Linked DNA regions of Lepisosteus oculatus. The protein of the gene in region 3 purifies or fractionates together with the protein of the main gene of each other region. This does not show direct contact. Links are inferred from orthologs where the notes say so. Each region holds a gene or a part of one and is shown on either strand. Other genes may lie near its edges.

Region 1 (7,746 bases), on a different chromosome or scaffold from region 3:
TCGCTGAGCATCTATAATGAACGAGTTAGCTGCCCAGAACAAGAATGTAACAGGGGAAGCACTAAGAGACACCGCGATCGCTTTAAAATGACCCGACATTGATTTTTCACCTAATTCCACATCAATACCCACAGTGACTGGTCTGGCTGGGCATTAACGCTCCAGAACTGCACAGACCGGTGACTGCAGGGCAGACAGGCACTGAGATCCACCCCACCCATCGCTTCATCTTTCCTGCAGGCACAAGGCCCGATTTCCAAACCAAGGGGAGCAGACTGCAAGAGGCAAAATCCATCACTTGAACAGAGTGACGGAGCAGGAGGAGGAAAGCAAAAGGGAAACCGGAGCGCAAAACGGAGCAGATTTGGAAAATTCCCCAAAGCAGTTTCAGCAAACTCATTTCTGCGATGACACGATCAGAACAGTTTGAGCATAAAAGCCATTTTTTTTCCCCAACAGGGAAATTCACTGCCATTTCTAACACCAACAATAGTAGCAAGAGTAACATTGCCACAAAAGTACATTTCTAGACTTTTTAATGCAGAATTATGGCAGCACTTGATCAAACACTGTTTAGTGAGAAAGTTAGTCTTCTGAAGCTCTCTGTAGGATATCACAGAAGTACTCTTGCAAACTGACGCTTGCCTTTTTATTCCAGGCCTGAAAACTCAGGACTCACTCGGCACTAGATTCTGTTTAAGGGCAACAGGGTAATGGGGATAAAGCTCTCCACCCCACTGCAGGACTGCCAAATTCCGAGCCGGAAAGATCCAGCAGATACCATTCTTAATGGTTTCATCACATGGGCTCACACCAGCCTGAAAGATGAGCACTGGCTTCCGATGAATCGGTACAATTGGTATAAAGTCGGAACTTGAGGTGAAACGCAGGCCTTATTTCCTATTGTGGGATTTTAAATTGGCAAGAAACATCCAGAGCTGATTGTGTAGAAAGTGCTAGAAAAGGTCAGCCTTCTCATTCAAAGGCTTTTTTCCTTAGGAAATTAAGCATCACTGCTTATTAGCTCAACCTGCTAAGATGACACGAGGTAGGCAGTAGGGAAGACATGGAGAGTCCCACTCCTGGAACGATGCAATCCACTCCCAGGATTTACTCTGAGTTCCTGTCATCCAACACCAGGCCATGTTTCATGCCTGCCACCCATATTTGGAGGAAACTTTGGTGTAAGCAGTTCTGTGACCAGCGCAGGTATGTGCAAGAACTGTCCGGTGGCAAAACCCGTCACGGATCAAACTGCTCCACATCGGCGGTCTAAACGGTCCAAAATAACGAACAAGAGCCTAGGTTAACAAAGGCACAAGGTCAGAGTATGGTCTGGGAGCTGCGAGGCAAAACCAGAGACAAAATCTTAATTTAAAAACCAAATTCTAAAGCCACTCCACTCAGGAATTTACACTACATGGTGGAATACTGGCACCTCACAGCAAAAATACTGTATACTGAAATTATCTCGTGTGCTTCTCAGCTCCCAAAACCATGGGGTGGTAGAAAATTTCTATATCAATCTGCTTGAAAGAGTTCCACTTAAGAAACGGGAATGTTCCACAATGTGACACCGCCTGTTACTTCAGTATGAATCTTTATCGATAAGTTATCGATACCTACAGCGGTGTGCCAGTACGTGGTTTCAGGACGCTGTGTTACATGTGGCTGAGATTGCAGTATTAAGCATGGGCTTTCAACACGAAGTGTGAAAGGTTGCAACTTCTGTCCCTACTGGCGTCTCGCAATAGGCTTCCAGTGTCTGTGGTTTAGTCCTTGCAGTGGGATAACTGGTGGGGTGACCAAACACGAGCTGAAAGCAGTATTTCCAGGTATAAACAGGAGAAAACGAGACCGACGCCAGGACTACAGCTGCAGTTAAGGGAGAAAACCAGTGGCGTTCCCCCAGAGGACCAGTTCTTGAACACCTAACCTGGAGCGACCGACTTCTCCGACATGAAGATGCGCTGATCTGCGGGTGTAAATGCAGAACAAAGCGAAACCACCGCACCTTGGCGAAGCTTTGTTTATATCATGGCGAAATATAAAAGAAACGCACCGCTACGAGCGGACAGCAAAGTGAAGCCATGTGGATTGTGTTTTTCGTGGCACGCAGGTGTGAAGCCGAGATCGCCGGTAGGAACACGGGTTAGGAACTACTGCAGGTCTAGCGCGTTCCCATGATGAGGATCTGTCACCTAAAACCAACGCAATGAAGCTGGAAATGATTTGAGCTACCGATTTCATGTTGCACGGGAAAAGGAGGCCAGGACGGGACCTCGCCCGCAGAAAGAGCGGTCACCCCCCCCCCAGCCTTCCCCAGACACCCAAGACCCCAGAAAGATACAAAGAGCCGTGCGGGCCTGGACGCAAATCACCGCCCAATCCGACACAAACAGAAGCCTTGGGCTCCCTTTTTCAGATCGTCCCCTGGCGTTTCCGATCGTTACCTTGTAAAAGGCCCCGTTGGAGCCACGGACCTCCACAGCCAGGCCGTCCATCCTCGCCGCCTCACGGAACCCCCGGTGCTCCTCCCGCTCGCCGGCTCCCTGTGACTCCGGAAGACCCCCTCGCTGCCCCGGCCTGCCACCGCCGCCGCCGCCGCTTCCCGGCCGCTTGTGGATTTCCAGTGTCCCGGGGTTTAGACGGAGAGAGGGACGGGATAAGTGAGGGGAGGGGGGGTGGGGGGGGAGAGAGTGTTCTGGGTGACGCCGGATCTGGGCGCTGCTAAATACGCTGTCGAAGTGCTGGTCGGATGCAGTCACACTCCGGGGACGAGAAACTCATGCAATCCGCCTGCGCTCCTGATGAGCTCGGGGTCCGACACTGCTGGCTCAAGGCGACGCAAGCAACGCTGTCCGTTTGTGCTCTTCAGCTTTTCATGGGTGGCAACAGTGGGGTGATTGTAATGTATTTAGTGTAGTTTTGCCTCCTCCCCAGAAGCTGGCTGCGCTACCGCAGGTGAGCGCCACAGCCCGTCCCCCAAACCGCACGCCGACAGAGTGAGCCCGTGAGGCCCTGAATGACCCCCAAATCCCTCCTCTCCGTCACACACGGCCCGCCCATCCACTCACCCTCCTCTCCTATTGGCTCAGATCCACGCCTTTCAACAGAATTCCCTTTTCACACTAACTTCCTTACACATCCCTCCCTCTTGCCCTCCTCGGTAATCGACTCTGCAACTCTCTTTATTGGATATGTTGGTTGTCAATCAGCGCGTATTCTCGATGTGATTGGGTTACTCCATGTACATCCTTTGATTCTTTGACGCTAGAGATGGTCGAGTGTTTCATTACCGTAATTCTCAGTCAATAAGCGCAATTCATGAAGCATGGTTCCGGTAATACAATACTTAAGAGTAATTATAATGATCTATATTTATTGCACAGGATATACATCTTTTGTAAGTGTGTATCCGTTGTGTGCTAAAGAAACTTTTAGGGTTCGAAAACATTTACCCTTTCGAGTTAAAATAAATAAATAAAACAATAAGCTTAACACTTTTAATGTAAAAATATATGTGTAAATAACGTAATTATTTAATATTGTTAAGTTCTGAAAATGTATCATATTTATTATCAGGTTAAATATACAGCTATTTATGGCGTTCATATAACGCATATTGTTTCCCGTCTTTTTTTTATAAAAGGCACTTGAAGCGTTTTAAAACAGCAGTTTTCAATTACATATTGGAAGTGTCCTAGAAACGAATTGCTTTGTTTTTTTATGTGAACAATAAAAAAAGGTCGCGACTTTGGTAAGAATGAAGTATGCTCACTCTTATTTCTGGACATTGCCTCTGATTGACCGTTTTATTTATTTTCCCCTCGAACAAACAGAGCCCTATGAAAAAGCTAAGAAATATTTCTAAGGTCTCACTGCGGGCTGTCACAGAGCACAGCAGAATCTCATTGTGTGAGGTGTAACAAAAATGCCATCTTCCCATTCAGAATTACAACACAACAGGAGTGTAAATTTCTGGGGTTTTGTAGACCACAGCGGAAGACTTTATAAATCGAGAGTAAAAAATCTGCACATCCTGTATCATAGTTTGCAAAGGAACAAATAAAGGTTCATTCCATGCTGAAAAGAGAAGAAAAGAAACAAAACGTTTCAACCTTTGTGTTTGTTGTGTTTCTTTTCTTCTCTATTCAACATGAAATAAACCTTTATTTGTTCCTTTGCAGCTGACACATACTGACACAGCTACAGTACCTACTTGAACTGTATCATAGTTCTCCATCTGTCTGTGTGGACTAGTGAACATAGAAACGGTTACAAGACCAGAGAGGAGCCCAGTTGGCACATTTGGTAGTTTGTAGTTATATGATCCCAGGATTTCATCCTCTTCTTGAAAGAAACCAGGGTATTGGCTTCAACAACATGGATAGAAGGCTTGTTCCACACTCCCACCACCCTTTGTGTGAAGATGTGCTTCCAGGCCTGATTGGAGGATCTCAACCACCTGTTTTGGGGGAAAAAAAGGGTATCAGCCTCAACAACATGTCTGGAGCAGCTTGTACCATACTCCCACCACTCTTTGTGTAAAGAAGTGCCTTTTGTTCTTGGTTTTAACAGCACTTCCAATAGTTCCCTCTGGTTTGAGTTTCACTGTTTCTTGGATCCATCTAATACTCAGATCGATCTGGGTTCAAGACTTAAGAGGTTGAGTTCCTTCAGCCTGACTGCTATGGTCAGATGTCCAGAGATGGCTGTTGGTTACAGGAGGGAGTGCCCTAGCACATGACACCTGTGCTACACAAAGAAAGAGAGCACTGCCATTACAGTTCCTGCCAACTATTGGATATAAACCCTGCACATGTGTGGATTCTAATAATCTGGCTTCTCCACAGATATCCCAGTAGATCCACTTACTGAATGCTCATAAAATCACCCAAAACAGGACCGGACAGTCAATTTGTGACCGGATCTCTGCAGGTTTTGGAGAACTCGGCACCCCCTTCCAATCCCAAAGAATGACCATGTGGCCAGCCTCTGTCTGCACCTCTTAGCTGACTTGAAGGATTGTCTCTTTGTGCACTGTGTCTGGAATAAACAGGTATGCTTTCCGAAAACAAAGCGTCAGTCAGCACTTGTCAAGTCTTCGTGTCACACATAGCCCACATCTACTTCAAGATGAAATCCCTTTATATGTGTGTCAGCCAGGATATGGGCAATGTCTGAGGAAATGGATACTGATAATTTAGTCTTTGAATCGAGGTGTGCCAGTCTTGATTGCTCTTTATTGATGTGTGGTCACAGACAAGGCTATGGTTGACTTGTAACACACCTGCCCCTAGTGTCGGGTGTATTTTGTGCTGCTGGAAAGCACTGCTGAGTCCAACTTAATAATTACCTGTCTCTCCAAAGTCCTACTGTCCAAACAGAGCAGTATTTTAGTATTATTAGCAGCATTTTTGATGTTCATTTTGCTTTTTGTAGTTGCTGTTTTAATAGCCTTTAACTGAAGAGAGACAGTGAGCCTGACTAGTGTCCAGGTTTCTTTGTTAGCACATCTTGGTGGGATATAAATGTGTCCAAACACTGCAAAATCAGATTTTTATATATTATTATTATTATTATTATTATTATTATTATTATTATTATTATTATTATTATTATTTCAAAGAGATTATACATTCAGATCTATGTATTTAAAAACATTTATTATTTAAAATCCCCATCTGTGGTACATTCATAATATTTAAATTTCCTAGTGAAAACTGACGCTGAATATTTCCTAAAAAGTTAGGGTTTTATATAATGTATACCTTTACTACCACAACTATTGCCACCCCGTGTTGGAAACAAGGTTTATCATTAATTTAAAAAAGTATTAATTGATTATTAAAATATAAATATCTCTCACAGGAGCCTCGTCTTAATTTATGGAACACCCACAATCAGTGCTAGCAAGTAATACCAACCAAAAGTTGAGACATTTCAGTGGGCTAACTGGAGTCTGATACAGTCTGCCGATTATTTGATATGAAGCTGCATATATATATATACAAAATGTATTGTGTATATTTGACACTTAAATCCATTAGACAGTTTTAGAGTGGATTTGCTAATTTTCCAGGAAGATAAAGGGCACCAGGTTAAAATGTGCAGGAAAGTGAAAACGCAGTCCCCTCAAGCTCATTTTCTCCCGTGGGAAGGTCCCTCTCACTTGTCCTGTAACACAGAATGCGTCTCGCCCAGTGATTGACGTCAGGCAGGTGACAGGACAGCTGTGTGGCACCGAGGACCCCAAAGTGACATGTTCAGCTGTCACAAGGGAGAGCTATTTTTACCACCTGCCCTGACTGCACAATTGGTGGGCCATCTTTATCATGTACGTCTTCTGTTACAAATGGTGTGTTTGGACAGCAGCTTCAGCGTTTTTTCACGCTCCATATGTGTCACTCTTCTGGGGAAGCACAGCTTAAACATTTCTCCAAGCAAAAATTCAGTTTCGCAGGGGAGCATTATTTTAAAACCAACTCTAAAACCATTTTAAAACCAAGTCTAGGTCCATGTGCATTCACTCCCTTAAACAGTATGCAAAGCATCCACTAAAATTCTTTAACGTTATAAAATGACCTGTAGGGACCTCTGCTGTCCAGCCTTTGCTCACAAATATTAAAGATTTCAGGATTTTCACAGAAATATTTTAGTCCTTCCTAATGCGTTTCACATAGATTTTTAAATCATTGTACTGTAGATCCACACAATCATACCTATTTAGTTGTACTTTTTGTAGATGGATTTTGCATTTTACAGTAAATTAATCTTGGTTAATACAAATATCAAACACATGACTCTAAAAACTTTTCAGTTTGAACATTTTAGTTTGGTAGTGTATTTAAAACCAAGAGGAGGAGGTATTTCTTTACACAAAGAGTTATGGGATTGAGGAACAAGCTGCCCAGCCATGTTGTTGAAGCAGTCAAGAAATGACTGGATGAGATGTTTGGAACAATATACTACCAACAACCCAACAGGGAAGATGGGCCACATGGCCTCCTTTTACTTATAACTTTTCTTATATTGTTCCTATAACTAAAAAGTTGCAGCAGTAATTTGGTTGATATCTTTATTCAAAACAGCTTAACACAATAACGTTATGAAAAACGCAATGCATAAAGAATATAATAAGAAGCCTGCATGTGTAATTATTATAATAAAATTGGTTTATCCAAAACAACTTGTAACAATTTTTTAAAAAAGCAACACATCATGAATGTACTTTAAAATTGCATTCAATTTCTGAACAATATGCATAGTAAGACAATTAAATAGCTCATTTGGTTTTAATTTGATACAGTAATGAATTAGCTGCCTAATTAATACCCTGATGCAGTGGTGCATGGCTCTTAATCAGCTCCTCTTTCTTGCAGAGTCTCTCTGATTCTTATCCATTCACCTGACAGGGGGCTCCCAGGCTGAGGTCGTCTGAGCTGAGGGCTCTCCAGCACTGATGGCTTTAAGAATAGTTCAGCTTTGTGTGGCTCACCCAGCTTCTAGCAACCTCATAACCCAGGATCCCCTCTTCTGAATGATCCTCAGTGACTCATCACATGAGTCAGCAGTTTCTTCCACAATCTGTAGTGTGCCTAAATTTAGATGGATGAAGCACAGCTGTCTGGCCTCTGTTCATGCCCTTATAAGAGTTTACTGTGATATTACTGTGTGTAGTAAAACTAAAGAGGGTTAAATCATAATGACACTGGTAAAGGAAGGAGTGGCATTATTAACCTT
Region 2 (7,105 bases), on a different chromosome or scaffold from region 3:
GAGATGCCGTCAGCAATCCCAAAATCCACCTTGCACAGTCTCTCCACAAGCTGTCCACAGCGTGCCCAGGAAGGGTAAGTGACCACAGCTTGGCTTCCACACGTAGCAGAAGTCTGTGTTGGAGTTGATGTAGAGCTATGTGGGACAGGATGTTTGCGCTCCCGGCAGACACAATGAACCCAGTGTACTAATCAATTTCCCGTCCTTAAAGTCAACTGAGCATTTCACACTGGGTGTTCCTTTATGGCACGAAGCTCTCTTTGCAAAGGCAAGTTTGTTCCACACTTTTTTTTTCCCCCATTTAATAAGTTTTTTTATAACTTCTTTGAAGTTTTTTCTTATTGTATTGAAGCTGTTTATTTCAAACGTAGGTTGTGACTAAGAATTCAAGAAGCTAACAACTTTAAATAGTTTGATTGCTTTAAAGCTAGGTTATTTTTTGTCAGGGTTTCATGGCAGTCCACTGTTAAATGTGTAGTGCTCATTAAAACCTCTTTGTCAAAAGGGCTATTTAATACTTATTAAAATAAGACTTGCCTTATTTAACATAAAGTAAATAGAGTATATGAGGGAGTTCTGTGCATATTTAATGTAAACAAATTGAAGTCTTTTTTTTCCAGAAGGGTTTCCAAGTATATTTCATAATCCAGTTCAGGTGTATAAAACTTACACGTTTTATTTTTTCGTTCTCTTTGAAAGAAGAATGTGATTATTAATGTTTTTCTAGGTTCCCTCTATGCTGAGCACAAGCCTGAATGCTGAAGCACTACAGTTCTTGCAAGGCTATCTCCAAGCAGCAAGTGTCCAGCTCGTGTAAGACTTAGGACCCTGAAATCAAATCATTGAAAACCTGCTGAGGACAATAAGGCCAGGATGAGAATTACAGAAGGTCGCAGGAATCATCAGCAAACTTTGTGAACCAAACTCCTTTATTCTCTCACCAGATATTGATCTTTGACAGAAACTTTTAAGGATTTTAATTTGGTATTTCCAAAAATATCATGAATTGTCTTTAAGGTAAAAGTTGCAAATGTTGTGATCTAGAAACTCATACAGTGAAGTTTTACAGACCTCATTGGGACAGCTCTCGCATATAAGTTTCTTTGGACTGTTGTAAAAGCATTTTCTGTTACTAGTATCATTTTCTTTGTGTAAAAGAAGGTAGGCAGTTGAGTTTTCACTAACCTTCTGTTACATGCTAGAAAAGCTTTGTAGGAACTTTTTTCAAGGGGGATTTCTTCAAATGCTAGTCAGAATACCTTTTCATGTATAACTACATGAAATCTTATCAGTTTGCAAAGGAATAGAGAAACATGTTAATCCTGTGTATGAGCTATGAGTTCAAACAGATCGCAGTTGTCTTCTGGCCGTGCAACACCCTTGTTCCCATCCTGCAAATCCACGAGAGGACTGTGTTCATTTCAAATCTTCTTTTGCAGTTTTACTGTAGATCAGAGTTTTCTGAGAGCTCTTTGACAGCAGCATTTTTTTTATGCTTCCACCATTCTTCTAAACCATTTGTATCTTGTATGTCTTTATTTATGTCTTGTCTCTTTAGTTTCTCATGTTCCAAATGTGAATAAATAAAAAGCACTTGTGTATATTCAGTTTTTGTGTACTTGTGAACCTACAGTACATGTACTACAGTCCAGGACCTTGAAGGTAATCAAAGGTGGATGAAATGCTAAGTTTATAATCATTTGGTTACATTTAAGATTTCTTCAAAATGACTATATTGCCTTGATACAAAAATGTGTAATCTACATGCAGAGTTCTTTAAACAGTTGGTGTAGTTAAAGGATTGATCACCTAAAAATTACAAGGATATAGATTGTTGACTTATGGATTTGTCTTCTCAAATGGATGCCAACATTAATGCAAATTTTGAAGTATGACATTGCATATTTTGAAAGACTGAACTAAGTTATTCCTACCAACATTTAACAAAGTGTAATGAAAAACAGGATGATTAAAAACATGTTGGATTAAAACACTTGGAACATTCACTTATGAAAATCTCAAGTAACTATCACTCAAGTGATTTGGGGTTTTCTGAAGTGTACCAGTGAATTGGCTTGGTTCCATTTTTCTAGCCTTCAGAAATGAGAGTTTAAGAGTGCCCTTTAACACCTGTTGGATTGTGGCTTTTTGAGAATGGGCTTGTGCAACTACAGCATCAAAATGATGCACTGCTGTTATCTCTAACATTGTTAGATTTAAGGTTCTTTATGTCTAGGAAATACCAGGATAAATTGGATCCACAGCCCCTGTCCAGTTCTGAGTGACAGAGGTGGAACTGGTAACCACACCCTTCCCACAATGCTTGTCCCATTCTATTTGAGGGCCGTTGGCACAGTTTTCTACCCATAATTTTTCAGTCCATGGCTGTAAATGAGCGTGGTATCATCGAGCTCCATAAGAAGGATTGAGCAAGATTGTATCCAACAGTACATCAATCCATTGCTAACTTGCTTCTTTAAGGAAATCAATGCTGATCATTCCTTTTACTACAAATACAGTTCAGAAAATCTGTGTATACTTTTATGAACTTTAAGAAATTCTGAAGCACTGTACAATGTAATTGAATGTAATGAATTTTGGCAGCGCGTTCCAGTGTAGATGGGGAGCATACAAGAAGGCTTTGCCATCCGTTGTGAGATTCTGTGATCGAAAGATCTCAGGTTATGAGTTGGACTGGACACCAGTCCATCACAGGGCACACACAAGATGGACTCCCGCAGCAGGGTCAATTAAACCAATGCAAAGCTGTAGTGCAAGGCCAAAAACCTAGATGAAAGTGAGGAGATGATAAAAACTCCATGCTGATGGCACTGAAAGTCTGAATATGAACCCAGAGCCCCAGAGCTGCAAGGTAGCAATTCTGACTACCGTACCAACCCTCTACTTAACCAATATATCTAACATCATTTGGACCTAGACATTTCCAGGCCTCACACATGACCAGTAGTACCTGCTAGAGTAGTCCACCCTATATATCACTGGGAGCCTATTAAAAATTATACAAGACCGAAGGTAAGTGCTGATGCAGAATACATTTAGTTAGCACAAGTCTTAGAATTCCTGACATTTTAGCCCATTTACTATCATATAAGATTCTATTGGTCTAATATTGGTATGCATCATGTTTATATAGTATCAGACAGGCCAAGCACTGGTTCTAGAGTGAGCGGTGTTCTGCAGGCAGAAGGAAGTGACTTGTGATGTTCCTAACATGCACTTCTAATGACAACACGGATTCGGAAGCAAGTTTTCTGTCTTCCATCAGAGTTTGGATTTCAGCACCATTCACAATAACATGGAAGTCGTCTGTTCTATGCTGTTGATGTTGGGAGCCTAGAATTTCAGCCTAGTCGCAGTTTTGCTAAAGAAAGTTCAGCTGCTTCCATATGTTACCATCAAACACCTATAAAGCACAATAACAGCAGCAGTAGCATCCAATTTGATCTGGAATATATCTTCAATTACCATTGCAATGAAACCTATGACCATTATGACAAATGATCTAAGGGACACCATATATAAACTAAAAGATGAAGGCCCCAGCATTTTAGATGTTTCCTCATTATATTATAATACTCTAATGCTGGAATAATACATGCCTGAGTACCATGCTGATGAAAGCTCTGGACGGGGCTGGGAATGATAGCACCATACCCTTGAAAATACTAATTGAACATCTCCAGCAGTTAGTTCCAATTAACCCTCCAACCCAGGTCTCTTCGATAGTTTACGGTGCTTTGTGATACCATTATCAATATTTCACAGTATCGAAGCTGCAATTCATGAAGTCACAAGTTGTTTTCGGTCTTGAGGTATTCCAGTCAAGAGGGTGTTTTCACGCCCCCTATCGTCCAATAAAAATGTAGCATGTTAATAAGTAAGGAAGAGAACCGGCGTTAAATGATGTATAACATCGTTTATTAAAATTATGAACAGCCTGTGTTTTGCAGTCTTACAGTAACGTACACAAGTTATTCATGATATGGCTCGCATTTTTTGCAGCTCGTTATTCCTTCTCGATCTCTCCAGACCGGGGCACTTCCTGCGAGCCGGCTGAGGTCACTTCCGGAATGGGAAACCGAGGCTGGGCCATTCTCTTTAGTGTTTGCCCTGTTTGCCTTTTTCTCACCATAACACTAACATTTTAATAAAAAAATAGAAGAAAAATCCATAAAAGTGGAACAGATCAAATATAAATCTCACATACCGTAGCTCATGGAGTAAAGAAATCCTTAACTGCTGGACTGAAACATAAAAAGAGGTGAGATCTTGCAAGCTTTTTTAAATTTTTGATTTGCAATCACATTGTGTGCTCTGCTCCACTGTCTTGTGCTACCTTTTACCTTCAATTGAAACGCACGGAAAGCGTAAAGTTTTATTCGACGAAACATTCTTTCCCAAATCAACACATTATTTTTAAAATCCAGGTGGGGATTAATATGCTCGTTTCTGGTAGAGGTCAGTAGCTTTGTAAACCAAACAATAACATTCAACGATCTGGACGGTGTTGTTATTCTTGTTTTGTTTTACAATCGCATTGAGTACTACAGAGAAATAGTTGCGCATTTAAATGTGGTATCCAGAAACGTGGTCGATGCGGTTAAATATACTTTATTAGTGGGTTTTTATGTTTATGTGCATTTTTACAGCATTGTTAGGTTCCGTTTTGTAACAATACACCATGAATGAAGTTTTTTCTTAGAAACAGGTATATTTCTTTATAAGAATATGCTATACTCGTCCCCCTGTCGTGTCACTTTGCTGGCACTGAAGTAGCCAGATAATATTTCGGGGGTATTAAGGTGTCGTTAAATCTCACCCAGAAGTAACGTCATTTGCATTTGCCGCTTTGGAAAAAAAAATGCTAATGTTGCAGTTCTCTCAAACCATGTTTTCTTTGCTTTGGAGTACTTGAGCTTTCGAAATATTTTGGCGACGTGATTTCAACAAAATAACAAATTAAAGGCCACCACAACTCTTGTTTTCGCAGTGCACGGTATGTTTGCTGGTAGCTACAGTAGTGTCGGGAGAGGTTACGAATGCTAACGAGCAGGTCACGATTTTCTTGAACATGCCGTGATTGCACTTCAAGAGAATCGGACGATTGTCTGTCTTTATTTTTAAATGTCCATTGTTCAGCACTTTCGGTGTGTCCAGGCTTAGGTGAAGGATAGTAGGCCTCAGACCAGACCCTTACGATTTGGGAGAGAACACTTACGGTTTTAAATTGGTCTGGTCAATTTTAGACGCCTTCCGTGTCGTGAATTAAGCTGTTGTCCACCGTGAAAGCAAACAGGTTAGCGTGCATCTTCTGGTATGCGTAGTCGTCGAAAATAATATGTTTGGAGAGTGCAGGGGGTCGTCTGTCTACTTGGAGAAATCTTATTTGGAGTTCGTTTGTACGCGCCTCCCTCCTAATTTTAAAGTTAAAATGAACATTTTACATCTGGATAATTTTAAGTCTTTTGGTATTGAGCAAAGTCTCTAGGTTTACCATCCCCGCATTCATTAAAATTTGACGTGATGGATGGATTAGTCTTAACACAGATTGAATAGGGCTGGTATTTAGTTTTCGCAGTTTTTGTTTTTGAAAACACCTCAAAACAACACTGTATGTTCATCGGAGCTGTAATTATTAGTGGTCACGATTGTGGGAAATCCCAAAGATAAATATCAGCTTATAATGATTCTTGGCATTATAAACACAGTAATTTAGCTGTTTAAGAGGAAACACTGTTCATACAAGGGAGACACTTGCAGAGAGAAAGACCTACCATTTCAGCCACAGGGGTTGTGTGTCCTGGTTTAATTGAGATCTGCTAAAGTTATGTATGTGACACATCCAGGAATACACAGAAATCGCTTGTGCAGTGCACTGGGTCTGTCTTGATGTTCCTGCCATTCATTAAGGCTTTGGCCAAAAAATTGTTTTGGTAGTCCACAGTAACAATCTTTTTAATAACAGGAACAATTTTATTTTATATAGTGCCTTTCATGTTAAGACACCTCAGAGCTTCAAGAAGTCAAACGCACTTTTGATAGACTAGAGTTGTGACTTAAATATATAAATAAGTGGGGCTGTGATGTGATTTTGATCTCTTTAAAATAGTTTTTGCCTCTAACTTGCCTTACCTTTTTATTTCAAGCATATGATTCTCAATCAAGAGGTAGTTCTTATTGAAGTATGCTCAATACTTTTGGCTTTGTGCCTGACAGGTTATTAAAACTTACCAGAAAAGCATGTTAATGTTTTAGAATTCATACTGTAACATTCAGACATAAAATGGAATTGCAAAGCAAGATGATGCTGCTCATTAGTTAACATTTAAGATAGTTTTAAGATAAAAAGATAAATAATCTTCAAATGTATATAGCACTTTTCTGGACTCTCCACTGAAAGCGTTTCACAGGTAATGGGGACTCCCCTCCACCACCACTAATGTGCAGCCCCCACCTAGATGATGTGATGTCAGCCATAGTGCGCCAGTACACTCCCCACACACCAGCTATCAGTGGGGAGGAGAACAGAGTGATGAAGCCAGTTCTTAGATGGGGGTTATTAGGCCATGACTGGTAAAGGCCAAGGGGAAATTTGTCCAGGACACCAGGGTAAAACCCCCTACTCTTTTTGAGAAACTCCCCAGGGATTTTTAATGACCATGGGTAGGTAGTCAAGACCTCTGTTTTACATCTCAGCTCACAAAGAAGGACTTTGCTGTTTTGTTTTGCAGTATAGTCTAAAAAGCTTACAAATTAGTCACTTGCATGTGTGATATGTAAAGGCGACTTTAGATGTAATTAAACCCTGTTTGTATGTATGATGTGTTTACTCTGTGCTGTCGACCAGTTTAGTTTCTAGTTCTGCTAACTACATTTCTTTAAAAAGAATTAGACTGGATTCATTTTTAAAACCCAAACATTACCTAACCTCAAAAAAGAGCAAGATGTCCCCCGTACCATATGGCTATCGTTTTTGGATATAATCTTATCTGAGTAAGCATCCCACAGTACACAAGCTTTTGAATTATTTTTCCCAGGAAGAGCTTTGCTGGATTACTCCAAACTTGCGCTGAACCCCTGTGCT
Region 3 (7,185 bases):
CGTTCAAGAGTGTTATTTTCAACTTTTACATAAGCGGCTTACAAATAGGACAGCACTTCATGTTCAGTGAGAAAGGATACAAAATGTGCTTTCCTCATGCGCCTGTCTCAACCGCTGAAAACAGCTGAAGTGAGCATCCCTGTGGCCACTGATCACAAGTGTGCAGCTGTACAAATGCTGCAATCTTGTCCTGACTAGCAATGACAGATCCATCACCGATGTGCTGAGGGCTGCTCCAGTCAATGAGCAGTCAGCACTGATTCAATTAATCCCACCCAATAATATAAAGCACTTAAGCGGATAGAATATCTCACAATTTTTTTTAAATCCTAACAGGAGGTTCAGAAAACACTTTCAAACTTAAGTGGGCTTTAAATGTTAATTTTAAGCTATATTAGCATTAAGGCTTGACAGTTCTAACGTTTAACAATCCATTGCAACTGTGTTTTCCCATTCAGTTTGAAAGTGATGAGGTATCTTAAAGTTAGGTCGCAAAAACATACCTATGCAGGAAATCAGGCGCCTGGTTCAGAAGGGTGTAGTACTGTCGGACAAACTCACGCCCGACCAGCAGGGCACTTGGCTTCTCCATCACCATTTCTTTGGTCAGCTGGTTAAGACTGCAACATAACAAAATCTCTTAACACTTTCTGGAGAGTGGAAACAAAACATGTATAACCACCGATTATTACAAATTCTTCTAAGGAAGATGAGCATCTCACACTGCACAAATGTATAGTAATCTCAGAAACAGAATAAACCAAGAGTCAAAGACCCATTTGTTCCCATCAAGGACATTTCTTGCAGTATATACCTCTTACATCTGCCTCAATCTCTCAAGATCATTCTTTGAACTGCTTACTCACTACTTGCAGGCTTAATGTTAAGAAACATTAAGACTAAGACTAACAAAAGTACTTAAAATCACATATCAAAAAGGCAGCACTTGGATGACAATAAACGAAAGCGTTTATTTATATCACAGCTCTAGCAGGTGTTAACAACAAATGATTGTCTACAAATGCAAAACTGCACCCATTTGCAAGGGAACACCCAATTTCCACAGCTAACATTCAGCTGTGTTTTGAGATCAGACTCCATTTTAAAACTAGATGCCTGCCTCCGCACTTCACATCTGCTTACTGACAAACGGGCTCCCATGAAATCCTACAACCTCGTTGCGTCTCTGGTTGCCCTTAGAGGACAGCAGTGGTCTAAAACAAAACCGGGGCCTGAGAGAGGGAGACAGACTGGATGAGGCTGGCTGCACACTCCACCTGCTGGGGTCGGCCCATACCATCTGCCTCAACATCAATCCCCTGTCTGATCATTGCCTCAGATGAGGCTGTAGCAGGCACCTCGAGGCTTCACCCAAGAGGGGACTGGTTCAGCAACATCTACTGGAATGCTGAGAGTTACACCCATATATAGACTAGCTCAGCAACCATTAACCTAACTTAGCACCGCCACAGCTAGCTAGGCTGCTGCTGCTGCTTCGCACAAGGTAAATGCCCAACCTCAATCAAACCAGGCCTCGGCATTGGAGTCAAGACACCAGCGCAGTTCCACAGAGCCAGACAAAGCCCAGCCTGCGGACTGTCAGACATTTCAGGCGGAGCACGTTTCACGCCGGCGAGGAAACCGAAGCCGAGCTCAACCGAAAAGCTCCGCTGCAATGACCTGGGGGAGCTGGCGAGCTGAGGGCGCGACTTCGCCCGTTTCGCAATGCGTTGAGAGAAAAAAAAAAAGGATGGGAGAGACGAACGACAGTCGAAGAAAAGGCTGATCGGAAATAAGACAGCGAACAGATGTACGCAGAAGGCTGTGTCGCTCACATTTCCGCACTTCAGAAGCCATTCGCTGCTAACAAAGCGCCTGGAAACGAAGCTAACGCCGGCCAGTACCTGGCACATGGCTATAAAAAAAAACGTTTCGCCTCATCGGCACATTTCTAGCATTTCCTCGACTTCCAAAAATATTCTCAACTCATAATGAATCCGAACTACTGCATTGAGATCGTATTCCGGTGTGCGATTTTATGATGTTGACTCTAGGTTTCTCAATTCCGGCAAGCCGTGATCATTTGAGACCTGCACATCCACACCCAAATCCCCCGAACTTGTGTTAAAACAACCACCGACATCCCAAACCTACATGATAAGATCTCGGCGATGTTTAAGCCATTTCGATATTAAATAACACCATCCTCAGCCAGCAACATAAAAACGGTACTTTCGCTGCCCCCTGACCGTCTTAATTTACTGAAACATGCCCACTCAAAGGGCGATATGCTAAAAACAGAATGCAGGCAGTCTTTGTGTACAGCTGAAAACACAAAACGATCACTTTTAAACTGACTAATGCGGTCTAATGCTACAGGGCCCAGATTGCGTCAGAGCTCCTGAGATCATTCACAGCCAGAAACACCGACACCATTTCACACCGCTTATTTCAGACACGAATTACACCATTCCCGGCGACTGTAATTCACAACGTCGTTTACAAGACGTATCGTGTCATTGATGCCATTACATTAATAAACCAACAAGTTTTTATATATAAGCTAACAAGGTAATGCAGCACACATGTGGCTATAAATACACCACGATACGTAGCCATTACTCGACCGGCCTTTCTCATGACTCATTAATACTCGACATAAAACACCTAATATTAACAGCATGGAACCTGGCACCGCCAATATCCTATCAACCTCTGCTTTTTTCCATCGAAATAAGGTCTTCCCCGGCACTAACCAGCCCTACACCACAGCAAGATTTTAAAAGGTGACCAAACGACACCACTAAAACAAAAAAAAATCTACATTTGAATAAAATGTATCCAACATACCTGAACAGGTATCTTATAACAAAGGCTAAGCCGTAGTTTACTTGAAAATGTATATATTCACCACGACTCTCACCCTGTAGCTAGAAATATTCTGGCGGCCTCACGGCGTGCTCAACCGGCTTCTTCAAATGCCTTCGGGTGACACCCTAACCTGACTCCCGTCCCAGTATGTTACAGGCCAATCAGAGTTTAGCCTTGCGATTCGCGCAGCCAATCGAAGAGAAGACATCCGACAGACGAACACTTCTAGCCAATTGCGGTCGGAATTCGCGTTCGATGGCCTTTCTCCATTGGCCAAGACCCGCGGAAGGCGGAAGGGGCTTTGCCTTCGCCCGCAGCTGCGCCAGCCTATCAGAGTCGGCGGAAACGCATACGTACAGGACGTCTGCAGTAGATTGGCGTTGTAAGGAAGCAAGCAGGCGAGAGGGGCAGGCTTGTTCGCTTGATAAGCGGGTGTTGTGGGCAATGGTTTGTCCCTTTCCTGGCCAACCGTTCAAGGATTGGGGCTTTCGCCTAAAGAGGGAGTGCTGTATTACAAGAGGCCCCTGTGAAAAGCCCCGGGAAGCCCTGTGCCGATAGAGGCGGGAGTTTTTTTGTTTAGGTGACCACTAACTTGAACACGCTAGATGTGATGGGCAAACCAAATGAGAAAATGGATGAATGCGTGTGCCTGGGTTTGTGGTCGTTGCAGTTTAGTCTACGTATCGAAATTCAAATGTAATCCGATTAATCATCAATTGCATTCACCTTTAATTACATTTGCATACTTTCCAATTGATACAATTGAAGGTCTTTTACAATTCAACAATCAATAAAAGTTAAAAACAATGACAGTGATTTTCATTTACTCAGTGCAATTGCAACAGTCTTTGTTCTACTACTACAATTGTGTCTGTACACACCCTTATCCAGTTTTGGAATCTTTTCGTTTTGACAGTACAGTATGGCATGCGTAATACTGAAAGAATGATAATAGTTTTACTTGATTGACTTCATTTCCTGTGATTTTGTCTCACATCTATGTTTAAAACATTTGATCAAACACATTCAACTTGAGTGTTGAGTTTTCTTTTCCAAATATACAGTTCTGTTTTCTGGTCCCCAAAATACACCATATCGTATTCTCTAATCATATGCAGTACTGCTGTTTCTTCCTCAAAGATCTCAAAAAACGTAACCCACTGTACCCTTTCTAAGTCCATGTTGACTTTGTCAAGAAAAGGAAAAGGAATTTGTCTTTTCGCATACCCCAATTTGCTCTCCATGAGACACACAGACACATAGAAAGAGAAGCTTGGGGTCAGAGCGCGGGGTCAGCCATTTCTGCGGCGCCCCTGGAGTAGTTGGGGTTAAGGGCCTTGCTCAGGGGTCCAATAAAGTAGGAATTCCTCTGCCGGCCACAAGATACAAACCGGCAACCTTCCAGCCACAGGTACAGATCCTTAGACACACAGCCAACACACCACCCCACAAGAACACTTCCTTCCATCATAATGGATCCTGTGTTAATAATAATAAAAATAATAATAATAATAATAATAATAATAATAATAATAATTATTATTATTATTATTATTATTATTATTATTATTATTATTATCACAGAGTGATGAAGCCAATTCAGAGATGGGGATTATTAGGAGACCAAGACTGGTAAAGGCCAATGGGAAATTTGGCCAGGCCAGGACACTGAGGTAACATCATAACATCATCACAATGCAAGCTTCATTCAGGAAGACTCATGGGGAAAATAGAGAAGAATTTGGAGGATTCAAACACTGCAGAGTTGAGCAGTAGAGGAAGACTCAGCCATCATCTTCACCACATTGGTCTGGTCAACTGGACTGAAGAGGAAGCCTAAAACCACTGAAAGACTACAGAGTTTCTCCTCTGTGGCTGAATGCCGCATGCCAGTGTACTGGAAAGAGCTGTTTCTGGACTTCTCTTTCGGGATATTGGGTTTGGGTAACTGGGGTCTGTGGAGTTCATGTGTCTCTGTGAGTATTAGGGTACTTTGTGGAGACTCTGTGTCATGTGTTCTGTGTGTCGGGTGGGCAGTGATAGGTATTGTAACTGCTAGAACGTTAGAAATAAAAGGAGCAATTATGTCTGATAATTACACCTACCTGGATTATGGGTACACTGATAGTTCTGAGAGATATAAAGAATCTGGAAAAAGGCCCCTAGCACCCTTAAAATTGCAAGGCGGCGTAGTTGACTACAAAGTGTCGTCAAAGTGGCATTTTTGAGTTACATACTGTCTACATACAGTAACTGACACTATTGGCCTACAACTACTTGAGTCCGTTTTTTTCTCCCTTTTTGGCGAAATGTGCTATATTAGCAATTTTCCATCCAGTTGATATGTCTTGAGCAGCCCTTCAAAGGCTTGTTAAGTCTATAAATAATATCTCTCATTTAATAATATCGTACAATTGGTGGAATTCCAACAAGACATTAAAATCTCTTCATCTTAACTTCTAGTAACACTCCCACCTCTTTGATGCTGATGCTTAGTTTTTCCTCAGCCTGTGCGTGTTGTGGATATTTCCTTGACAAGGAATGCATTATGAATGCAAGAGCTGTTATACCTCTAATACTGAGTTTTGAAAGGGGGGCATTTAATCCTTCTAATGTTATAGGAGGCATTTCTGACATGGACATTATTAGATGATACATGGTTATATGATGTTCTGGCTTCCCTGCTGACCCTGAATTGGATGAAGCAGGCAGAAAATGGATATTCTGTTTTATTTGAGGATGACTCTTGTATCAACAGCAAGAAATAAACAGCAAAAGAGTAATATGTAAGTGCAGGGCAGATCCAAGGAGCATCAGTGTAACTACAGTAATTGTATCATAGACTGTCCAGCAGAGGGCAGGGTACACCATTTTTTGATCCGAAAGTTTTGAAACCTATTGTCACTTCAAAGTATTCAGAATCCGGTCTAGTTTTAATTTAAATAATAACAATTGCTTACACTTATATAGCGCTTTTCTGGACACTCCACTCAAAGACTCCCCTCCACCACCACCAATGTGCAGTATCCACCTGGATGATGCGACGGCAGCCATAGTGCGCCAGAACGCTCACCACACATCAGCCATCAGTGGGGAGGAGAGCAGAGTGATGAAGCCAATTCATAGAGGGGGATTATTAGGCCAGGATTGGGAAGGGCCAATGGGAAATTTGGCCAGGACGCCGGGGTTACACCCCTACTCTTTTCAAGAAGCACCCTGGGATTTTTAATGACCACAGAGAGTCAGGACCTCAGTTTTACAACTCATCCGAAGAACAGCGCCTGTTAAGAGTACAGTGTCCCCATCACTATAGTGGGGCATTAGGACCCACATTGGCCGCAGGGTGAGCACCCCCTGCTGGCCCCACTAACACCTCTTCCAGCAGCAACCTTAGTTTTTCCCAGGAGGTCTCCTATCCAGGTACTGACCAGGCTCACACCTGCTTAGCTTCAGTGGGTTGCCAGTTGTGAGTTGCAGGGTGATATGGCTGCTGGCGATGACTCCCTCCGTATGTCTGTATTAGTACAGTATTTTAAATGTCATTAACAACATTTGTTTGAAATAGGGGTCTCATATCCTGATTGACAGAAAATCAGTGTTTTCTTTCCTATCTGAGCTGCGAAAGGCTTAATTGGATTAATCAGTTGCTTACACGGGAGACAGTAACATGCGAACAGGACGGTATAATTTGCTTGACTAAGGCTGTTCAGGACCAGGACTGCAGATCCCTGATTTAGAATGATAAATAAATTCATTCAAAAGTAGCTGGTTCTGTATAAGACCGGCCATACGACTGTGAAAAATTATACATATAACTCTGCTTCTTCACTTCCACTTGGCAACATTCTCTCCCCTTGAAGTTAATTAGTGCCACGGTAATGTGATGTAAATTAAATTTTGAAGCGGTCCATGGCAGACATTCCTGTGGATGTGTTTGTTGCCAAGTGGAAAAGATCAAAATATTAAGGGCTTCCTATCCCCCCGCTAGTGGAAAAGGTATGATCTTAGTTTAATACTTGTATATTTGTGTGATATATATTGGCATTCTTCTTGAAATGCTGAAAGAGTCGAAGGAAAACAATTGCTTAATTCTATTCCCGAGAACTATTAAATTTGCAGGGCAGTTCACAGCAAGTCTTGGCCAGATTCATTATTCTCTGTGGAAAAGCTAGTTGTCTTTGCATTGAGAACAATATCCCAAGATGTGAAAAAAGCTGGAATAGCTCGGTTTCGCCAACAGAACACACAAAACGTTTCCCATCATTTCAGCCAGCGCAGACAGCTGGAATGCCGTTGGAATTCTCTGTAATCGGT

What was found.
Region 1: the proteins of g3bp1 (region 3) and fxr2 purify together in Homo sapiens (affinity purification with mass spectrometry; 3 studies listed by BioGRID and IntAct, with this or other methods). This does not show direct contact. The link is inferred for Lepisosteus oculatus from reciprocal best matches to the Homo sapiens genes G3BP1 and FXR2.
Region 2: the proteins of g3bp1 (region 3) and stau1 purify together in Homo sapiens (affinity purification with mass spectrometry; 3 studies listed by BioGRID and IntAct, with this or other methods). This does not show direct contact. The link is inferred for Lepisosteus oculatus from reciprocal best matches to the Homo sapiens genes G3BP1 and STAU1.

What each region holds. Positions count from the first base shown.
Region 1 is NC_090698.1:11,918,117-11,925,862, reverse strand, and holds the start of fxr2 (fragile X mental retardation syndrome-related protein 2), read right to left. Parts: upstream 3,022-7,746; 5' UTR 2,505-3,021; coding exon 2,454-2,504; intron 1-2,453. UniProt on the Homo sapiens protein: mRNA-binding protein that acts as a regulator of mRNAs translation and/or stability, and which is required for adult hippocampal neurogenesis. Specifically binds to AU-rich elements (AREs) in the 3'-UTR of target mRNAs.
Region 2 is NC_090711.1:9,427,058-9,434,162, reverse strand, and holds the start of stau1 (double-stranded RNA-binding protein Staufen homolog 1), read left to right. Parts: upstream 1-4,084; 5' UTR 4,085-4,282; intron 4,283-7,058; 5' UTR 7,059-7,105. Other genes in the region: cse1l (exportin-2), read left to right, coding at 1-74, 728-817. UniProt on the Homo sapiens protein: Binds double-stranded RNA (regardless of the sequence) and tubulin.
Region 3 is NC_090706.1:36,004,425-36,011,609, forward strand, and holds the start of g3bp1 (ras GTPase-activating protein-binding protein 1), read right to left. Parts: upstream 3,023-7,185; 5' UTR 2,924-3,022; exon of another isoform or gene 2,851-2,923; intron 621-2,850; 5' UTR 599-620; coding exon 504-598; intron 1-503. UniProt on the Homo sapiens protein: Protein involved in various processes, such as stress granule formation and innate immunity. Plays an essential role in stress granule formation.